Linked DNA regions of Tamandua tetradactyla. The protein of the gene in region 1 purifies or fractionates together with the protein of each later gene. This does not show direct contact. Links are inferred from orthologs where the notes say so. Each region holds a gene or a part of one and is shown in the gene's direction. Other genes may lie near its edges.

What was found.
Region 2: the proteins of DDX21 (region 1) and RRP1B purify together in Homo sapiens (affinity purification with mass spectrometry; 3 studies listed by BioGRID and IntAct, with this or other methods). This does not show direct contact. The link is inferred for Tamandua tetradactyla from reciprocal best matches to the Homo sapiens genes DDX21 and RRP1B.
Region 3: the proteins of DDX21 (region 1) and RSL1D1 purify together in Homo sapiens (affinity purification with mass spectrometry; 3 studies listed by BioGRID and IntAct, with this or other methods). This does not show direct contact. The link is inferred for Tamandua tetradactyla from reciprocal best matches to the Homo sapiens genes DDX21 and RSL1D1.

Annotation. Positions count from the first base shown.
Region 1 is NC_135339.1:28,236,646-28,244,706, reverse strand, and holds the start of DDX21 (nucleolar RNA helicase 2), read left to right. Parts: upstream 1-4,982; 5' UTR 4,983-5,090; coding exon 5,091-5,177; exon of another isoform or gene 5,178-5,584; intron 5,585-6,975; coding exon 6,976-7,404; intron 7,405-8,061.
Region 2 is NC_135336.1:101,251,932-101,258,860, forward strand, and holds the start of RRP1B (ribosomal RNA processing protein 1 homolog B), read left to right. Parts: upstream 1-3,873; 5' UTR 3,874-3,948; coding exon 3,949-4,078; intron 4,079-6,929. Other genes in the region: HSF2BP (heat shock factor 2-binding protein), read right to left, coding at 1,636-1,786, 2,591-2,626. UniProt on the Homo sapiens protein: Positively regulates DNA damage-induced apoptosis by acting as a transcriptional coactivator of proapoptotic target genes of the transcriptional activator E2F1.
Region 3 is NC_135349.1:45,367,444-45,374,451, forward strand, and holds the start of RSL1D1 (ribosomal L1 domain-containing protein 1), read left to right. Parts: upstream 1-3,908; 5' UTR 3,909-3,923; coding exon 3,924-4,130; intron 4,131-4,615; coding exon 4,616-4,755; intron 4,756-6,176; coding exon 6,177-6,315; intron 6,316-6,854; coding exon 6,855-7,003; intron 7,004-7,008. UniProt on the Homo sapiens protein: Regulates cellular senescence through inhibition of PTEN translation. Acts as a pro-apoptotic regulator in response to DNA damage.

The DNA of each region.
Region 1 (8,061 bases):
TTTGTTATTAAATAGGGACCAGATTTTAAAGGTCTGTGTGTCATGTTAAAGAGTTTAAATTTTCTCTTGAGGACAGTGGGGTCACTGAAGGGTTTAAAGTAAGGAGTAATATGAATAGATTCATATTTTAGAAAGATTACTAGCTACACTGAGGAGATTGGAGGCCAAGAAACTCTTCCGCGTCTGTTGAAGTAATGCAAGGTCAAGATGATGAAGGTATGAATTCATGGTGGATAGCTTATTTTGAGTGATGAGAACTAAGGCACTTGAGAGGCTACTTGTCCAAAATCACACAGCTGGCTAATATATAGTAGAGTGAGGATTTGAACCCAGTTAAATCTAGCTCTGAACTGAAACTGTGTTAAACAGTGGCAGTAGATGTTGAGGAACACAGATATCAGAGATTTTTAGGAGATAGAATTATCAGGACTTGGTGATTGGTTTGGTAGATGAGAGAGAGGCCGAAGAATGAAACTAGATTTTTGTCACTGACATAGGGTACTCAGAGGGAAGAGCACAAGAAGTTCTGTGGGGAGGGGATGGAAATTATTAGTTCAGGGTTAGACCTTGAACAGGCTCTAGGATATGTAAGTAGAGGAGATAGAGTAGGCAATTGGAGGATGCAGAGGGAGGTAGTAGGCTAGGACATTTGAGGAGAGTGAAGAAATGCTGAAATATCAATTGTAGAACAAGATGGAGAGCTTACTAAGCAAACGTGTCACAGGCAGTCTTGAGGATCCAGTTGAGGTTAGACTGGACTTGTACTGGCACCAATCAGAGCGAACGAGTAATTTTCTACAACAATCTTCAGCATTCTGGTTGTAGGAATGGAGAAGGGAGACAGTTGACTGATCGAGGATTGGGATTTTGCTTTGTGAATGAGATAAAAGGATAAGGTGAAGATGTTTAGCACTTTGACAAAAAAGTGACTGAAGTGTTAGTCTATGGAATGTAGACTGCCTAAGGGTTGAAGTGGAGATAGGGTTGATCACAGCGAGAATGTAGAGGGGGCAAGGGACTGAAGCTGTTTCAAGAGTGGAACAATTTGGTATAAGACAACAAGAGTATAATTAGTAGGCTTGATGAGTTCAGGCAGTCAAGGAACTGAGAAGCAGGTTTTATATGTGTGGTTTTCCCAAACAGTGATGTCTCTTAGTTTGAAAGCCAGGCCTGAGGAGGGAGAGGAAGAGCCAGGTACCAAACTATTGATGGTGTGGAGGTTGGTAAATTGCTAGAATGAGGAAGATTATAGGATATTACCACGTATCTTCAGAGAAGCAAGGGCTTTTACATGAAAGTGAAGGAGTAATCTAGAAATGGCTTTGAGGAAAAGAGGACACTGACTTGAAGGTTCATGGTATGCAAAGGAACCAGCAACTTTTGTGTGAGAAAACTGCAGGGAACAGTTTTTTTTTTTTTCCCCTTAACATGGGGAGGCACCGGGAATTGAACCCAGGTCTCTGGCATGGCAGGCAAGAACTCCACCACTGAGCCCAGTTTGCCCATCCTGCAGTGGGTGTGGGGGGGGGGTAGTATTTTCCAGGAAGAGCCAGATTTCAGTTAAAGCAAGGAGAGTTGAAGAACTTTGTGTGATGGATTGAGGAAGGAAGTTTTGATTATGAGGAATAGAGTTCCAGATGACCATGACTGATGGGAAGATCTCAGTTGGCTCTGCATTTGAGTAGTTGTGAACTCTGAATTTATATCCAAGATAAATTAGAGGTTCAGTTCCTATAAAGGTGAATGAGTACCAGTACATTCAGTCAGAATATGTTAGGCACCTACAATATCCCAGACACTATACTTTGGGCCCAAGGAAAGCCAGGTCTCTATCCTCAGGAGCTCAGAATCTTGTGAAATAGATGGACACATAAGCCTAGGTAAACAACAGTGAACTAAGTGTAGTTAAGTGCTCTGTGCAAGGGCACTGAGCCCAGCCCAGCAATGGGGTTGGGGGTTCAGAGGAAGCTTTTTGGATATAATGACTGAATATGAATGAAGTCAGGTAAAAGAAACAGGGATGTGGGGATGGGCATCCAGGCAAAGGCAAAGAAAAGCTAATAAAACAATAAAGTCTAAGTATGGGGAACCATGAGTAGTTCTTGCTGCTGAGATCTTCACTGTTAGGAAAGCATTGGTGAGAACAAGGCTAGAGTCATATCTTGGGGCATTTTGCAGGCCTTGTTTTGAAGAGCCACTGGAGGCTTTTAGGGAAGAGATTAAAAAATTAGTAAGCATTAAGATAAATGACAGCAAGGTAGAGGGTGGTCTTAAGGCTGACTTCTTTATTAGCCTACTCTCAGGCAAGGAAGTGGGGTGGATCCTAATAAGATTAAATAATAGCTTCCCATATTTCTGAAAAGGCAGGGCAAGTTCTCATGAAATTCTTAGCCTTGGGTTACTCAGTGATTTATCCTTACTCTACTTCTCCCTCTTCGAGCCCAGCGCCTTCATGGCTTTCCCTTTTAGCTATTCAGAGTCTCCAGTGTGGTGCTGTGCTCTAGTGTGGTTAGTTAACTACTTGAACTTGAATCAGTTACCCACAGCTTTGGTTTTTGAATTTGTAAATGAAATAATATGTTTTATTCCTTCAGCATTACAAGTTTGAATAATGAATTCACATTTAGGTGTAACTGTCAGCCTTTTCTGTTTTTTACATATTTGGGGTTGGGAGAAGCTGCTTAATAGTTTTTTTTTTTTTTTTTTACCATATTTTTTTCCTTATTAGTAATACATGTCCATTGTTGAAAATTTGAAAAAAGAGAAACAAATGGAAGAAAATAAAACACTCATAATTAACATCCCTCAGAGAAAAGTAGTGCTAACATTTTGTTGCATAGACTTTTGAATTCCTTCGGTGTGCATTTATGTATGTATATGTACATTTTAAAATAGAAATTCTCTCCCTAATCTTATGAAAACATGTTACCTCATGGAGATCAGAGGAAACTGGTCCAGAGAGTTGATACTTAAACAGGACTTCACAATACCTATCAAGGCCCAATTTTTTCCACTTATTACGGATTTTATACTGATGACTTGATTTCAGTATAATTATTTGGCCATCTTTGAGCCAAAAGGGACTTTTTTGTGTGTTTCCTCTTGGAATGCTGGGCTCTGCCTGTGTGCAGATACGTTCGTTACAAAGGATATTTTATAAACCTGACAACAGTTTTCCATTTAGTAGTTTGTTCTGGGTTTTTTCCTCCTATTGAAAATGTGTTAATAATAAACATGTCCTTATACAGTTTCAGCAGTATCATGAACAGCAGTATCACATGGTTTTGTGGTTTCTCAACCAAATTGCAGATTCCCTGAAGTAGGGACACGGTCTTAACATCTATAACCCAGAGTCCACAGTATGTGCTGAAATTCCAGATGAAAAGCATTTTGTTAGTTAGTTGATTGGTGGAATCCATTCATGCTTCCTTCCCCTTCTATCACACACAACAATCAGAATGACTGACATGCTCTCCTGCCTGGACTTATATCTAAAATTTATTTTGAGGGTGTTTTTGCTTTTCATGATTGCTATTTGAATGATAAACAAACATTTGCGTGACAGCCTCCTATTTATGTGCCAGGCTGAAATACTGAGGATACAAAGATGGATAAATAAATGAAGGCTCCTGGCTCAAGGATATCACAAAGTGTAAGTTAAAGCATTGTTGCACATGTACATAACTTTATCTTTTAAAAAGAATGAGACTGTGAAACACAGAACAGTAATAGCTTAAATATGAAAAATTTCCATAAGTTTTCCATAAAACTATTAGTTTAAAAATGTCCAGGGTGGGCCATGGTGGCTCAGCAGGCGGAGTTCTCACCTGCCATGCCAAAGACCCGGGGTTCAATTCCCTGTGGCCACCCATGCAAAAAAAAAAAAAATCACAAAAATAAAATGTACAGTAAAAATTAATCTCATGAAATATAGAGATAAAACTTTATTTTTTCCTTTGTCATAAAAGGCAGTATTTTTAATTGTCCAAACACTTGTGACACATCAGTGAGTTGCAAATTTCTTTTATTGTGCCTTATGTGCTAGGTAACGCCAAACCCTTTACATTCATGACATTAAATTTTCTCAACAAATGAGTTAGGTTTGTTATCTCTATATCATGAGAAACTCAGGCTCATATTCTGTAACGTGTCCAAAATCACCGAGCTATTTTTAATGGAATCGGCAGGTTTCAAAGCCTTTCTTGTAGAATTCCATCACATTCTCTTAAAAGACCATGATGCATTTTCTTCCAATTCTTTGTATCACCAGTTCTTCAGATAAAGTTTAAGTGACCGTCACGGATGGGCCACTTTTTCTCAACTGCTTGGATTATATCTTGTCGAGATCATGCAAGACAGGGAGTCCCTATTATTTTCTGATGTAGGCCTACGTGATTTGGGTGCCCCATCTAGTGTTCCCAAGCCCAGTTTAGGTGCCTTTTTGTACCTTCAGAACAAATGCCACTCGTCCTCTCTCCCACCAGTCTATAAAGCTTCCCCAAGAAAAGGTTAGTGTAATATCTCCTACCGAATCCTAGCACTGTTCTCCGACGCAAAGTGAATACTCAGAGATTGTGCGCTGAATATATGAGCACACACATGAACAACCGGACCCGACTGAATTCGGGTGCTTACCGAGACTCGTCAGTTTGGGCATCACCTTTCAGGTAGAAATATAAGAAGTTCAAAAAAACACATCTCGCGCGTCTGTACGCGAAAGGGCTTTGCACACTCGAGCAATCTAATACAAACACCGAAGAGGCGCCACTCATTTATCGGCTGGGGCTTACGAGAATCTGGCACGATAATACAAAGCTAACCTTTGTGGTCCTTTTCAGTTCTACCCTTTGGCAGGTGCCTTGTAGTCCAGGCGCTGTAAATGGAAATGGTTCATTCGCTAATCACAGGCTACGTCAGCAGCCGGAGCGTTGAGACACGCATGGGCCTCGCCTGCTTTGTACGTCCTGCTTCCGCCGGAAATGTCTTGATACGGGAAGTGACGAAAACTGGGTGGGCTAAAGAGGCAGTTCTATCTTTTCCTCTCCACGCGGTTGCCGAGTTTGGCTGGTCTACGCAGGTTCTGTTGAGTGATGCCGGGAAAACTCCTTAGTGACGTCGGCTTGGAATCAAATACGGCCATGGGAAAAAAGGAGACACAACGAAAGCAAAATGAGAAGGTGCCACGGAGGGCTGAGGGATCGGGGGCGAGGCAGGGAGAGGGACCGGGATGCTGAGGGGAGCGGGGCCCTGGAGTACGGGAGAGGAGGTACCCGGGCTGGGAGAGCGTGGCGCGCGGCGAGGAGACGGGGCGTGTAGTTTCGCCAAGAGGCTCTCGAGGGTGGTGGTCTCCAAGGGCAGTTCGTCGCTCTCGGAACTCTGGCTCTCTTCGGCAAGGCGCTGGGACCTCTGGCAACAAGGCCGGGGCAGATCCGATCTGGGGAACGGCAGATCGGGTGTCCCACGTGGTCTCCGGAGTCTGGGCCCCGTGCATGTGGTACGCAGAGTTGGACATTCACATTTGGCCCTTAGGTTGCCGGCTCAGATTTAACGACGGGCGTGAGCGTGGGCGGTGGTGTATCAAAGTCAGTAGAGGAAGTAGGGACTGACGTCTTAACTAAAGAAATACTAACCCTATTTGAGCACGTGGGGAGAGATTTTTAGAGGGCGGGCAAATGCTGGCGGCGTCTGCAGTAAGAGAAGTAGTTTGTCTTCTGGTGAGCAGCCCTTTGAAGAAGAAATAATTCAACTCCTCCTAATATTTACCGATCTAATTTGCTATGGAAATGTGACGAGAAGGGCTGTGGTGCTACCTGTACACTATTTTTTATATGGGCCAGTAGTATGTGAATTACCTTGACAACCGGGTACTTCTTTGATGCTGAATCCTATACCCACTTGAGTTTCTCTTCTGAGATGAGGTCAGTGAAAACACCAATTGTCCCTGAATTTGCTTTGTATTTGACTTACAATTTCCTTTCCTAGCTGTTTCTGTATCTTCCTGATGGGAGAGCATTTGGTATTGTGGGAAGCAGACAGAGTACAAATTTGTCCCCACAGATGGGGATGTAGTGGTTCTGGTTTACTTGTTTGAATCAGTTTGTGCGCTTAGGGAATTCTCAGATTAAGAGGAACCTCTTTGATTCCCGGCCCAGGCACTCCAAAAAAAAAAAAAAAAAAAAAAAATCAACAAATGGTGCTGCAGTAACGGAATATTCACATGGAAAAGAATGAAATGTGACCCCCACCCACAACATACCAAAAAAAAAAAAAAAAAGGAACATAATTAAACTTTCCCAAAGAGACCCATCTATTTGGTAGAACCAGGGAATGAAAAGTGGAGCAAAGTCTTGGGGAGAGACCAACTTTTTCCTCTGTTTATTAGAAGGGTGGTCACGTGGGAGAGAGGTTATCCATAGTCTGTGATTCTAAAACTGAGAACTGACGTTTCAGGAAGGTAAATTTCACTCTGATAGTTTCTGAACTTCCAGGGATTTGCTTGGGGCTCTGCCCAGGTTCTAACAGGTATAGCCTGTCCAACTAATTGTAATAAGTTTTCAGTAATCTGAAAAGTTGAATAGGGTCAGAAGTTTCAGGTAGGACCTCTAGCCGTATGTCTGGTTTGGTTTGGTGGTTTCACCCCTTCCATTTCCTTTTAACTTGTGCATCTGTGGTTTGCTGCTACTGTTGTTGAATTAAAGTATATCATTTTTACACATTGGCTGTGGGTCTTTATAGCTTTTTGGTTCATAAAATGTTTCTATGTAAATTCATTTGAGCTTGTGTGAGAGGTAAAGCAAATATTATTCTTGTTTTGCTTGAGGTGGAATTCTAGTAGGTACAAAAAGAAGGAATCTGTGTGACAGCATCCATTTGTGTACATACAACCCTATCGGTATTAATTTTGAACTGTGCTTGATCACTTTCTATAGTATTTAGTTTATTTCTTTTTTGTATTTTTTAAAAATTATTTTTTAGAAAGATAAAAAAGAGAAGTCAAAATCTGATAAGACGAAAGGATCAGCAGAAGAAAAGGAGGCTATGTCCCCCAAAGCAAAAAAAGTTAAAAAGGCAGGACCTTCTGACGTTGATATGAATTCTCCTAAATCCACAAAGGTAACAAAGAAGAAAGAGGAGCTATCTGAAAAAGACATTATTTCTCCTAAAATTAAAAATGGGAAAAAGAAAAAGGAGGCCTCTGAAAACAAAATTGTTTCTCCTAAAGTAAAAAAAATGAGTGAGGAACCTTCTGAAGAAGAAATAGGTGTTCCTAAGCCCAAGAAGATAAAGAAAGATAAAGAAATGAATGGAGAAATTGGAAAGAAAAGCTGTAAGCTGAATGGCTTTCCCCATTCTGGACTTGAGTCTAGTGAAGCTGGAAGTGAAGAAAGTAAGGAGTTAGAACAGGTAAAGTTGCACTGTTAAGGGGTAGAATGTATTTCTTTGTTTCAAAATGCAAAGCAATACCTACGAATACTATTTAATATGTGGGGTGGGAATTTGATGTGTCGGCATTTCATGAGTGGGGGCTGGGGTGGGCACCCTGACTTATCTCAGTTTATTAAATTGCATTGAGTTGGAATGCTTCCTCTGCAATGAGTAGATCTGTTTAAGCTTAGGGAAAGTCTTACAATCCTTGGTCTGCTGCTTATTTGCAAGTCAGTAAATCAATTGGAGAGGTATAGTTATGCAGGCAGGACTAGCTTCCCTCTAAGGGGTTTTGCCAAGTCATGATTAAGTGGAACTACAGAAAAGGTGTTGATTGATTGCATAAAAATCTTTTTGTTCAGACCATTAATTAACTTGAGTTGAATAGTATGAGTGAAGTTCTGCCTACTTGGAAGCTACTTTTATCTTTCAAAAACTTGGTAATCAAAATAAATTTAAATTCTGTTAAGTAATTTTTTACTTGCAGCAAGATCTTAATTTTTCCCCTCAATTATTAAAAATATTCTTGATATTCTCACAAGCAGTGGGGACAACAAAAGCAATAGGCTGAGTCCCCAGTCTTGGGGTTTGATCATATGAGCTTAATCCTGCAGAGGACAGGCTAAACCTACTTAA
Region 2 (6,929 bases), on another chromosome or scaffold:
GCAGGTTGGGCAGCCGGCCAAGGTCTCCTCAGCTAACTATGAACAGGTTACCAGAGATTGCTTTGTGGTTCTCACTTTCACAAGCATCACAATTTGACGTGGGAAAGGACTGATCTCCAATAAACTGACTCATCATAACCAACATGAGACCCTCACATATTTTTCAGAATATCAATGTATTGATTTACAGTAAGAAATATAACCAACCGGCAGGCCGATATACTCTGCTCACTGGCCAGCAGTTTCCTTTCCCAAAGACAAACATGGATTGAAGAGGTATGCTCGGATGGTTGATGTGGTAAGCATGGCAACAGCACAAAGGCAGCTGAGAAGCCAAGGACTTGGAGCTGTGGAAACCAGTGAGACAGAGCACATCAGTCAGGGTGCCAGCATGAAGGAGAAATCAAAGAAAAAAAGAAAGATTAAAGTCCCAGATATCAAGGGACTTTAATGAAAAAACTTACTGAGGGAGAGCAGATAAAAGTCCCAAGAAGGGATGGTAAAAACAGCCCCACAACTGAAGGAGCAAGGGGAGAAAACAGTCCTGGAGGCCAGCGAGAGTTGGGACAAGAGAGGAGGTCACTGAGTGGTAGACACAGATGAGGAGGGATGAAACTATGCCAGAGGAGAGCAGCAATGCAGGGAGGGTGTGGGGGAGGAGATGCCCCCACCACTCTCTCCTCTCACTGATAGGTTTCACTGGCTGGCCCTCTGGCAGGCAGTAAGGGAGCCACAGAACACCTCAGTGCAGAGAAGGAGAGAAAGGATCCCAGGACTTCAAAGAGAATATAAACAGGGCATGACTACAGAAACTGTGAACAGTCTCTCTTCTAACTGGATATGACTGCCCCATTGACCAGATAGTTACACAAACCAGAAACTTACGTTCTTGAGTCTGGACCCAAGAACTTTCCTGCGTAACTTCCTGTCTGGACTAGTGCTAGCAACACTACCTCAGCCTCCTGGATGTACCTTTCTAAGGCCTCACAGCGATGGCTGTCAAATACAGTCTGGCCAATTAGCCTTAATCACTGAAGACAGACTTCATGGTAATGCAGCTTAATGAGGCAAGTGCTGAATCCATCCAGAGGACCTCCAGGCATCTGAACCAGCCCCTGCACTGGTGTCTGATACAATGGCTCAGCTCAGATCTCCAAAGTCTGATGAATAAGTCCCACCAAACCTGAAATGAAAGCAGTGCTAGAAACAAACCCATCTGTCAACCTAAAGAACCTAGGGAAGTGAACACACATTCAGCCACCTCTGCAGACACATTCAGCTCCAGGCAAGCTTTCCACCATGACAAGATCCTTCACTAACCCAAACGTGGACTTAATCTTCAGAGCAGACCTCTTTAATAATCAAAAGTATAAAATTCTCCCACCATGGAAGAGAATGAGAAGCTAGTAAGAGATACTCCAGAGAGCTGGCCACCCTCACACCAACTCACCCATGTCCAAGTAATTCATTCGAGGCCACCTGCCCTTTTTATGTCTTATCTGAATCCCCAATTTAATTATATAACCTATAACAGTATCTCAAAAATTATGTATCATTACTTTCTAACGAGGGACGCTGTATCTGCTGAAACATTGTTGGAGTCAATGGTGATCGTTAAAGATAGAAAAGACTCACTTTTTTCTACAATCTTTAATTTCTGGAAGCTTTCCAGTACCTCCCCATTTAGTATTCTGGGTAAGAAGTCCCGTATTTGCATCACTTCAGTTGTTAGACGTTCCAGGTCCTTCTTCCTGACTTTAACGAATTCTTCTTTAGTTTCCACGTGCTAAAAGAACAAGCAGATCTTATGATCATACCATTTCTCTTCAAATGACTAAAACTAGTGGCCCACTTCAGCTTACTTCCTTCTCTTTAATACCTCTGGTGCTACTGTTCCAGAAATTTATCTTTATAATATGCCTTCTGCTATATTACATGCTGAAGGTAGAAGCCCTGATCTTCAAAGTGAGAACCAGATATGAGAGAGGGGTAGGACAAGAGTCCTACTCCTAAAAGCCAAAGAAAATGCCAGTAACTTTCTAGTAACATTTTGGCACTAGGTTAATCAAGAGAAAATGGGAAATACTTCTGCTGGATTCCTACTAGACCTGTCAAGCCCTCTGCTGGACACCGTATTTAATACTCAGTGAAACCCTTCAGGACTTTCCAGAGCAGAACACCGAGGCATGGAAGGCCAGGTGACTCCCCAGCGTGGGACACTGGGGACCCGAGGGGTCAAAGCCAGCATTTACAGAGCCCCGACATCCAAACTCCAAGCACGTCCTCCTACATCACAGGAGGAAGCACTCTGTCATGTTTCAACCAGCGTCCAAGTCCTGGTCCGATGGAAACTGGGTTTTCAGACGCTGCGAGGGCCATTCACCTCACCCTCTCTGCCTCTCGCGCTCCCTCCAACTCCCCACACCCGCCCCACCGCAGCAGCGGCAGACATCACCTCGACCTCACGGCAGCCACACCACGTTCCCGCCCGCACCCGCCCGGCCCCCGCTGTCCGTGGAGAAGGCCCGAGGCCTCCCCGACCACGGAGCGGCTCCCGAGCGCCGTAGAGGTCCCCGGCCTCGTCACTGACCCGGCAGGCCTCCTCCGAGCCGCTCGCCTCGCCCATGGCCGCGCCGACCTCCCCGCAGTGCGCCTGCGCGGCGCCGTCTGCCGCCTTCCGCGGAAAACGCGGGAACGCGGCCGCGGCCGATGCTCGGTACGGACAGCCGTGAGGTTCAAATGTCGTGGCTTCTGCGCCGCATTTGAGAGGAGTGAGAGGAGTGAGCTTCTCCGGCTTAGCCCGGGCTATGAAGTTGCTAACTGCAGAGTAAAAGGAAAGTGAGACTTTGGTGTAAATATCAAGTCACCTAAAGTGAGCCGGTCCTTTCCTGCAGAGTGCGGAAGGCTATCAAGGGGCAACTGCCTGCCCGCAGCCTGCTTCCCGGGAAACCTCACCGCAGCAAACTGCGCACCTCCCGCTCTACTCCAACCCTTTCCTATTAAAGGTTTCACCTTTAGGACCCTTCGGGAGGGCTGCACACCATAGGAAGTTCTGCAGCCAGCTAAGTAAATGAAATAACAAAGATGAAAACCGTCAAATTGGACAAATAGCCTCGTCCGTTGACCTGCCCCAGTGCGCACCCTGGACTCGCAAAATTTGAGCTGGCCTGTGGTTTTGAAAGGTTCCCGGGGTTAGGACCATTCCCCTTTCTCCCCTCGCTTAGGCTAGCCAGAAGGCATTGTTCACAGTCCCGTTTAACTGTGGACGTTTTCCCAGGCTGGCTGGAGCAGGAATCAAGTCGAGACGTTTGCACAAAACCCGAAATTCCTGCCTTTGCGAGCAGGGAGAACAGGCGTGCGGGCACTGCTCGGGCCGGGTAGCCGCGGTACTGCTGGACGACAGACCGGCCTGCCCGCCCTCAGGGTCCTCCAAGGGCTGCCCCGGACGGGCTTGGTGCCGACACCCCCAGTGCGGGCCGCCGTGCCCCCCCTCACCTCTCCCTAGTGTCGCGCGCGGAGGCCCTACACTTAGGAGCTCGGCTGCACGGTGCCCCGTAGGTCGTGTGCTGAGCGTGTGGGGGGTTGGCTAAGTGGACCTAAGGAGTCCAGAAACTGAAAACTGACATCCGTCTCTTCCTGACGAAGACGCAGCCTTGGCTACCGCGCCGCCAACGGTCCTGAATTTTGGCGACCGAAAGGCGGCGAAGGCGCGAAGATGCGACGGCGCGGCGCACCCAGGAGGGGCGGTTCGCGCCGGAGGCCCTGACCAAAGCAGCGCGGGCTTCGGAACGCCCCCTACGAGGCCGCCGGCGCCTTTGTGACGCTATCAGCCCGCTGACGCTGACGCCGCCTCCTGCGCAGGCGCGGCGCGGGCCCGGCTTGGCGGCGACCGCGGCGTGAGGCTGAGCGACCGCGGGCTGGACTGCCCGGGATGCTCCGGCTGGCGCCATGGTCCCTGCGATGCAGCCCGCCGAGATCCAGTTCGCGCAGCGGCTGGCGTCCAACGAGAAGTGGATCCGGGAGCGGGCGGTGAAGAAGCTGCGCCAGTACATCAGCGTGAAGACGCAGAGGAAGACAGGTGGGCCCCCGGCGCTCAGCCACATGGCGGGCCGGAGCCGGCCGCGGCGGCCGGGAGGGCCGGGGACACGCCGAGCCCAGCAGGGAAAGGGGCTTCGAGCAGGGATTCGTGACTTCTTTCGTGGGCGTCCATGTGTCCAATCCATGTAACCGCCTTTTTACTGTATCCAGTCCTATGTTGATGTTACCGCTGAGCAGACAGGCCGGAAGTGGGTCACTGATTTACTGAAAGTCACATTCAGTAAACGGGGAGGCTGAGATGAAACCCGGGTCCGTCTGATTCCCATTCCCACGCCTGCACTTTCAGTCATTACATTCACCCGCTTTTATTTCGGCGTGCTCTTCGTTGATTGATTCATGCCAGCGTTTGGTCAACATGTTTAGGTGCTGGAAATACAAGAGAGGAGACAGACAGAATAGCTCCCCTCAAAGAACTCCTAGGAAAAAAGCTAGAGAAGGTGACAAATACAATAGAGCTTATATAAGTGTAGTGAGGAAAATGAAAATCACTTAACAGCGAGAAAAAAGGAGAGAAGCAACTCTTCTTCATTGGCTGTTTTCGGGGCCTCGCTGGGGTGATGTTCAAGTGAGGTCCAGAGGCAAGAGGAAGACAGCCCTGCAGAAAAGCAGGAGAGAACTTAGCATGCCCTAGACCTGTAAATGAGGAGGCTGGGGTGTCTTGAAATGAAGTTGGAAACACAGGCAGAGGGCAGATCGCATAGGGCTTTGTAGTTTGGATTTTAGCTGTAGTAGAGTGCCAGCGAAGGATTTCATTTACCAGATATAGAACATGTGCCTGTAAACCCTTGAGTGAGCTCAGAGTGTATGAACTTGTTCTTGAGTGAACATATAGGTGTGCACATGGTGCAATATGCTATAGTAAGATAAAGTTTGATTTAATCACTGCTAACGTTAATGCCTTTAACATCTGCTTGAAAGAGTAGCTATTATCTATCTCTTCACCACGTTCTTAGTTTCTTTTATTTTGAAGAGAAACACAGAAGACTACTCAGGAAAAATTGAATCGAATTTTAGTTCTGATAAACAGAAAGGGGAAAGAAGACCAAATTCTTAACTTCAGTTCTCTTAGCTTCTCTTACGGTTTCAGCTATCCTATATACACCTGAGGTTACAAAACCTAAATTTCTAGCCCATACCTTCCCTACTTGCAGCTCAGATAACCCCCACTAGCCTGACATCTCTGCCTGGATTTCCAACAGTCACCTAAGACTCAGAGTGCCCCAAACTGACTCATTTTATTCCCTCCAAAACCTGTTATTTTCTGTTGTTGCAGCTCTCCCTTGTCTGCCTGCGTTATTTTATTTTGGTTGCTAGTTCTCCACCATCGACTCAGACTCCTCACTTTTACTCATCCTCTCCCCCCAGCCTACATTGAATGTCCCTTGGTCCTACTTGTTTCACCTCCTAAATGACCACCCTGACCACAGGCCCACTTTATCTTACCTGGAGTCTTTGCGTACTTATTTATGTCCCTCTGCATCCCCATTGAATCCATCTCCACTAACCAGTTCAGGGTAATCTTTTTATTTATTTATTTATTTATTTTGCATGGGCAGTCACCAGTTTGGCAGGCAAGAACTCTGCCTGCTGAGCCACCATAGCCCACCAGGGTAATCTTAAAACAAATCTGATCCCTGTAGTACCCTCGAAATTCAGGGTCCCTTCTAGCTACACCTTGACCACTTCATGTTCTATCAACAACAATCTATTCTTGGTTCCTCATATGTGACACACCATTTCTCACCTCTTTGCCTTTTTTTAACACAGCAGAAAGCTCACCCCCTTTCTGCATTTGGCACTCAGTTCAGTATCACTTCCTCCAAAAAGCCTTTCCTAACACCCCTACTCCTTTATGATTCTAAAATACCCAGTGTATTGTGTATGGTCTCTGTTGTGGCACTTAGCTACATTGCCTTTTAACTATCTCTCAGCGTGTCATTCTTCCTCCAAAACACCGTGACCTTCCACTGTTTCCTTAGCTGAAAGTCAGATCACACCCAGCTGTACGAGGACCTGGCATGCTGTCCGTATTGCACCCTAGAATGGGTCTGAAATGGACCAGACAAACCCTGTTGCACAAACAGGCCTTTGGTCAGCAAGCCCAGGGTCTGCAAGATGCTAAAATGATGCAGGGTATGAGGCTAGTCGGTTTACCATTGCCCCAGGGTCCTGGCTTAGTACCCATCACAGCTAGAATTACTTGTGGTATACCTCTTGTTCTGCCCCCTAATCTATACTGCAGGGTGTATAGTGGGCCCTCAAAAAAACTCTGCAAAGTGAATATCGTAGGCACAGTGATAACGGGGCAGGAAAAAAAAAGTGCCACAGTTCCCCTCCATCAAAATAGAGACACAAGTTTAAAAATAAATTGACCTGATATTTGAATCTCATAGACAGACTCGCATTTTTTGCATCTTGTCCTAGGCAAGGTAAAGAAAATCTGAAATTTCGCTTATACTAGTACATGTAGCTGTTTATCAGCAGCAAAAATAGATAGCTTTGTGATTTCAGAAAGTAAATTAGGAATCCCTGTACTGCTTAAAGCAACCACACATTGCCCTAGTGCTTTAACTGTTTGTGCTGAGCATTTACAATAAAGGAATAATCATTGTTTAGTGAATAGTTTCCTAGCTGCTAAAATAAATACCATACAATGGGTTGATTTCAACAACAGGGATTTGTTGGCTTATGGCTTTGCGCCTACAAGAAGTCCAAAATCAAAGCACGAGCAAGGCGATGCTTTTTCCCTGAAGACTGGCATTCTGGGACTGGCTGTCAGTGATTCTTGGTCCTTGGCTTTTCATTTACATGGCAGTGCACATGGCAACATC
Region 3 (7,008 bases), on another chromosome or scaffold:
TAGCTGCTTGCGCTTTGGGCATAAGGACTAGGAAACCACCACACACCACAAGATCTTAAAGATGCTTCCCTACATTTTCTTCTAGTTTTATGCTTCTGGCTCTTATATTTAGGTCTTTCATCCATTTTTAGTTAACTTTTGTATAAGGTGTGAGATAGGGGTCCTTTTTTATTCCTTCCCATATGGATATTGAGTTCTCCCAGCACCATTTGTTAAAGAGACTTTCTGTCCCAATTCAGAGGATTTGGCAGCCTTGTCAAAATTAATTGACCATAGATGGGTCTATTTCTGAACTCTCAATTCAATTTCATTAGTCAGTATATCTTTATTTCAGCACCATGCTGTTTTGAGCTCTGTAATATGTTTTAAAGTTAGGGAGCATGATTCCTCAATTTTGTTCTTCTCTCATGATGTTTTTAGCTATTTAGGGTCCCTTATCCTTCCAAATAAATTAGATGATTTTTCTGTTTCTGTAAAGTAAGCTGTTGGAATTTTGACTGAGACTGCTTTGAATTTGTAAATCATTGGGCAGAATTGACACCTTAGCAATATTTAGTCTCCCAATCCATTTACTTAGGTTTTCTTTTTTAAGCAATGTTAAAATTTCCTGCGTATATGTCCTTTATATCCTTGGTTAAATTTATTCCTAGATATTTGATTATTTTATTTGCTATTGTGAATGAAATTTTTTTCTTGATTTCTTCTTCTGATTGTTCATGGCTAGTGTAAAGAAATGCTATTAATTTTGGGGTGTTGTTCTTGTACCCTGCCACTTTGCTGGATTAATTAACTAATCCTAGAAGCTTTATTGTGGATTTTCTGTATAGGATTATGTCATCTGCAAATACAGAAAATTGTACTTCTCAATTTGGATGTTTTTTAATTTTTTTCTTGCCTTATTGCTCTGGCTAGAATTTCTAGCACAATGTGGAATAACAGTGGTGACAGGGGACAGGTCCTTGTCTTGTTTGTGATCTTAGGAGAAAAGCTTTCAGTCTTTCCCCATTAAGCCTGATATAACTGGGTTTTCATAGATGCCCTTTATCATGGTGAGGAGGTTTCCTTCTATTCCTAGTTTTCCAAGTGTTTTTATCAAGAAAGGGTGCCACATGGGACAGAAATCCTAGAATGAGCTGGGACTCAGCACCAAGGGATTGAGAAATTTCTCGACCGAAAGGGGGAAGAGACAAATGAGACAAAATAAAGTGTCAGTGGCTGAGAGATTTCGAACATAGTGGAGAGGTTATCCTGGAGATTATTCTTACGCATCATACAGATACCACCTTTTTAGTTAGGATGCAACAGAGAGGCTGGAGGGAACTGTCTGAAAATGTAGAGCTGTTTTCAGTAGCCATGTTTCTTGAAGATGATTGCAGAATGATATAGCTTTTACAACGTGACTGTGTAATTATGAAAACCTCGTGTCTGATGCTCCTTTTATCTATGGTACAGACAGATGAGTAAAACACATGGATTAAAAATAAATAAATAACAAGTATTTAGTAGACTGAAATGCTAAATGTTAAAATAAATTTAGTAAATTGAAATGCTAGGAATTACTGAGAGGGGTAAGGGGTATGGAATGTATGAATTTTTTTTCTGTTTTCGTTTTATTTCTTTTTCTGAATTGATGCAAATGTTCTAAGAAATTCATCATGATGATGAATATGCAACTATGTGATGATATTGTGAGTTACTGATTATACAACAAGAATGGAATGATCATATGGTAAGAATGTTTGTTTGTATGTGGTTATGTATCATAAATTTTTAAAAAATTAAAAAAAACATTAACCAATGTTACCAGTCAAAAAAAAAAAAAGGGGTGCCAGATTTTTTTTTTAAAGCAATAAATAGTTAAGTTTATTAAAAAGAAGGAGAGAGAATACATATTGGAGAGGTTAATGTGGACATGCCCAAGGGAGGGATGCCTTTTATTTTTTTTCATAGTAGCCATTCTAGTGGGCGTGAAGTGGTACCTCACTGTGATTTTTTTATCACAATCAATTTTTTCTTTTTTGTGAAAAATAACATACAGAAACAGCAATTAATTTCAAAGCACATCACAACAATTAGTCGTAGAAGAGATTTCAAAATTTGGTATGGGTTACAATTCAAGGTGCTAGATTTTGTGAAATACCTTTTCTGCATCAACTGAGATGATCATGATCATGTTTTTTCCCCCCTTCATTCTGTTAGTGTGGTGTATTACATTAATAAATTTTTTTATTTTGAACCACTCTTGAATACCTAGGATAAATTCCACTTGATCCATTTTATATGCTTTTAATGGACTGTTGGATTCAGTTTGCTAGTATTTCATTGAGGATTTTTGCACCTCTATGAGATATTGGTCTATAAATTTCCTTTTTTTTTTTTGGTATCTTCATCTGGCTTTGGTATGAGAATGATTTTGGCCTGGTTGAATGCTTTAGGGAGTGTTTCTTCCTATTCAGTTTTTTGGAAGGGTTCAAGCAAAATTGGGGTCAATTCTTGGAATGTGGATAGTATTCCCCTGTGAAGCAGTCTGATCCTAGGCTTTTCTTTATTACTGATTCAATCTCTTTATTAGTTATTGATTTGTTTAGACTTTCTATTTCTTCCTGAGTCAGTGAAGGTAGCTGGCGTGTTTCCAGCAATTTGTCCGTTTCAACTAGGCTATCTAATTTGTCGGCATACAGTGGTTCACAGTACTGTCTTATAGTCCTTTTTATTTCAATGAGATTGGTAATAATGGCCCCCTTTTTATTTCAGACTTTAGTCATTTGTATCCTCTTTTTTTCTTTGTCAGTATAGCTAAAGGTTTGTCAATTTGCCAGTATTCTAACCTCATCTCCCAGTCCTCTCTGCTGCACATCCCTACTCCAGCCACTTACTACTTCCAAACACCACCATGCTTTTTCACCTGAATCCGTGCAGTCTTCTTGGCCTAGAAAATAGAAAAGGCTAGTTCTTACACTTGTTCAGATGACAGAACACCTGACATCCCCAATGCTCTTTTCAGAATACTAAATGATATTGATACATCAAACTTAACAATTCATAATTCTGTAATAAATATAATTCAAAGAAACATAATGAGAGAGAAAGAGAAAGAAAAGAGGAAAAGCCAAGGAGCAGAGCTGTGGGTATACTACGCCTCTATTTGTGTAGAAGAATAAAAGACTAAATTTAACCCCAATCATATCCATAAAGAAAATAATAAAATACAACTACTGCCTAAACACGTCTAGGACATCTCTGGAAGGTTACAGGGGCCACTGGTAACAATGGTTACCTCTGGGGACATGGGGCTGGAGGCAGACTTTCTACTGTATTCCATCCTATCCGTTATCCAGCCTCCACATTTATTCTATACGATCTTACCTCCCGCCTCTCAGTGAGACCGGAAGCTCTTAAGATACCGGTCTGGGTCATCTTTCGATCCCTCACACCGCTCCACGACGCGTCTCGTACTTCCCATGCATTATTACTTCACTGGATCTTCGCCCTCCGGTAAGGAGGCACATTGCCGTCATTCTCACGTTTGAGGAGTGTGGCTCGGAAGTCTAAGCGGTTCGCCCAAGGTCCCAGAGCAGGTGGGTGGTGGACAGGGATTCCAGGGCAGGCGTGCGTGATTCCGGAGCCCGCGCCCGTCCCGCAGTCGCCCGCGGCCTTCCCAAAGGCGGCGTCCAGGCAGAACTGGTGACCCACGGGAGCGATGGACAGGGCTCCTCTCCTGCTTCAAGGCGGTTTCTCGACCTTTTTTCGTGTAAGAATGGGAAGAAGGTGGCGGCACGCCTACCCGGGCCTCCAGGAAACCGGAATAGGACAGGAGAGGTGAGGGCCTCGAGTAAGCCCCTCAGCCCGCAGGCAGAGCGTGCAGCTCACTCAACTCGCTCCCGCCCGGCGGCGCCCAAACCAAATCCCGCGCGCTCCCGGAAATGACGCATGGGCTCGGGTGCCGCCCTTCCACTTCCGGCTTCAGGCCTAGGCTCGCGTGTGTGAGGGAGAAGCAGCTCGGTGAATCCCTGCGCACGTTTGCACGAGGCGAAAGGGCCATGGAGGACGTATCTTCGACCCCAGGCTCAGCCTCGACTCCAGAGAGCCCTACCGAACCCAAGCGGGAGTCGCTGGTGAAGAAAATGCAGGTGAGTGGCCCCTGGAGTGGACCATTCTGAAGCGTGGTGTCTATTGGCCTGTATCCTGTGGGGGTACCCGGTCAGGACCCGGGGGCCTGCTTGCGGGCTCCGCGCCTCGGATGGCCCCGGCGCTTTGGAGGGGTCGCTTGCTCCGTGTTTTTATCCGCCTGCTTCCCACAGTCCTGCGGCTTGGCCCCCTTTTCTTGGATTGCAAGTGTAATTGGGGTTTGAAGAGACACCTGGCTTTCCTTTCCAACCGTTTATCTTGCCAGGTCATTTAATTGTGCAAACCTCTTAGCCCTTTTTTTAAATGGGTTCTTCCGCCCTCTCCTGTCCGGGATCATAGATGGCAGTGTATTGTAAAGCGCTTTGTCCAGGGGTCTGGCTGGTCGTTAGCTCTCAGTAATTATTAGTTGGAAAAAAAAAAAGAGGAGGGGCAAATACTAAATTAGATTGAGATCAACTCTTTTTTTTTTTGTATCTCCACTTTGCAGATTAAAAAGGCGGTGAGAGCTCTGTTAGAAAATTCCAAGTCCAGGAAAAACGCTAACGACTTGCTTTTGAATGAGAAAGAAAGTGTCTTCTTAATGGTGGTATTATGGAAAATTCCAAGTAAAGAACTGAGGGTCAGATTGTAAGTTTTGATTTTCTATGTTTGCTTTTTTTTTAATTAGAGAAGATAATACATTTACAGAAAAATCAGGTAGAAAATACTGCGACGTTTGCTCTTTTTTATCTGTTTGGTCATTGTATGTAATAATTTCAACAATCCCAAGTTTGTTTCTAGTGGAAATTTTGCAAATTCAAAGTGAAAATCTTATATAAAATAAGTAAACGTGCCTAAAAGAACTATAGAAATTCAGACGTACTATAATTTCCTAGAAATATTCCCAGTTTTCTGGGGGCTATGGATTCTATTGAACTAGTTTTTGAGATAAAGATTAAATTAAGCAGCTTTTGTGTTTTAGCAGAACATATTATATTTTCATGTCAAGCTATTTCCGGGCTAAAATAACTGAGGTTCTGGGACTTGTCTTTTATACAGAAAAGCCATTGTGATTATACATTCTTATTGCCAGTAGTCTTAGGTCAGAGATGCCCTCTCTGTATTTGCCAAATTTAGCAAATAAAATAACGAATAATTCTTTTAGTATTAGTATGTCCCATGCAATACCTGGAACATACTTACACTAAGAAATTATTCCATATTGATAATGAAATTCAGATTCAACTGAGTGTCCTATATTCTAATAGGCAACAAAGTCAGCTTTGCTTAAGAAAGATGTGGTTAGGATAACTTCTTTTGTTTTTCCCATGAAGAAGGGAGGTGAATTTCTCAAATTCTGTCTAACCAGATTACCTTATTTATTGCTTTATGAATTCCATGTGGATTCTTTATTCCACAGCTTTGCTGAAGCTTCTGGAAAGCCTTCTCACCTCCTCTAAGATATTTTCCCAACCTCTTGGTGATTTCTAAGTGCCACATGCCAGCTTTGCATTATGCACTTTTTCTCTCATTTGACATGTCATGCCCTTGTATTGCTATCTCTTGTTAAACTAAGGAAATGTTTCCTCAAACATGTAGGCCTAGGCAGTGCCTTAATCCTGTTTTTATTATTATTTTTTAAGACGCAACGCAATATTCAACACGTTTGTTGGTTACTTTTGGTTTGTTCCATGTTTTCTGTTTTGACTGTTGAGTTAAATTGTCTGTATAGCTAAGAATTTCAAATACATGTATATAGAGAGAACACATTAATTGCACATGCAGTAATTTGGGTGTCTGTTTAGATTTTAAATCTTCTATCCCGAGTGCTTATTCAGTTTTGGACCTTTTGGTAGTTGTGGTGATGTCTTTAAATCTTAAATCTCTTCTCTGTATCATGGAAAGCTGAATATATATTTAAATATTGTATTTAGTACAGTATTTTCTTAAATAGCACAAATGAAAGTATTGAAATGACAGTAAATTTATTGTGTATTTTGCAGAATATAAAGATACATATTGTCTGTAATAATGTTTTATTCCTTGGCTCCTTCTCATGTGTTTTGCAGGTCTTTGCCTTACAGTATTCGGTCAGATTTAGCAGAAGTCTGTTTATTCACCAAGGATGAGCCCAATTTAACTCCTGAAAAGACAGAACATTTCTACAGGAGTCTTTTGAACAAGCATAAAATTGAAACAATTTCTCAGGTAGGGAGCAGGTTAATATTTTCCAGACAAAGTATTTAATTCAGTTGAAGTGATAAATGATGCATTGTATATTTCCTAGTATTTTTTCCGTTTTTCTCTTTTTAATTTAATTTTGGTGGTTTTAGGTAAGTGGCATTCTATCTTCCTTAAGATGGAGGGGGCTGTCGAGATTTGTTGACCTCAAAGTTGAATGTATACATCAGTAACCTTTATGTTTTGTAGATTACACAAATATGTTATTCTTCAGAGCATCCTGTATTTGCTTCTGATTTGGCACTTAGCATCTTGTTTGTAGTTGTTGATTTACTTGTCTTTATCACTCATCAGATGTAAGTTTCTTCAGATGGGATCCCATCTTACTTGTCTCAGCATCCTCAGCATTTAGCCTGGCACGTATTTGGCACTGAAGTGTTTACTTAGGTAGGTTAGGTGTAGCTTGAGGACATTTTAAAATCTGAATAGAGTACAAATTATTGCCTAAATATTGTTCTTGTTGTACAGGGTCTTAATTTTTTATATTTTACTCCTGTGTTTTCTAGATTATCCCCCTCCGAACTTTAAAAAAGGAATATAAACCGTATGAAGCCAAGCTCCGTCTCTTGGGTAGTTTTGACTTCTTCCTTACTGATGCAAGAATTAGGCGGCTTTTACCCTCCATCATAGGGAAACATTTTTATCTTAGAAAGAAGTAAG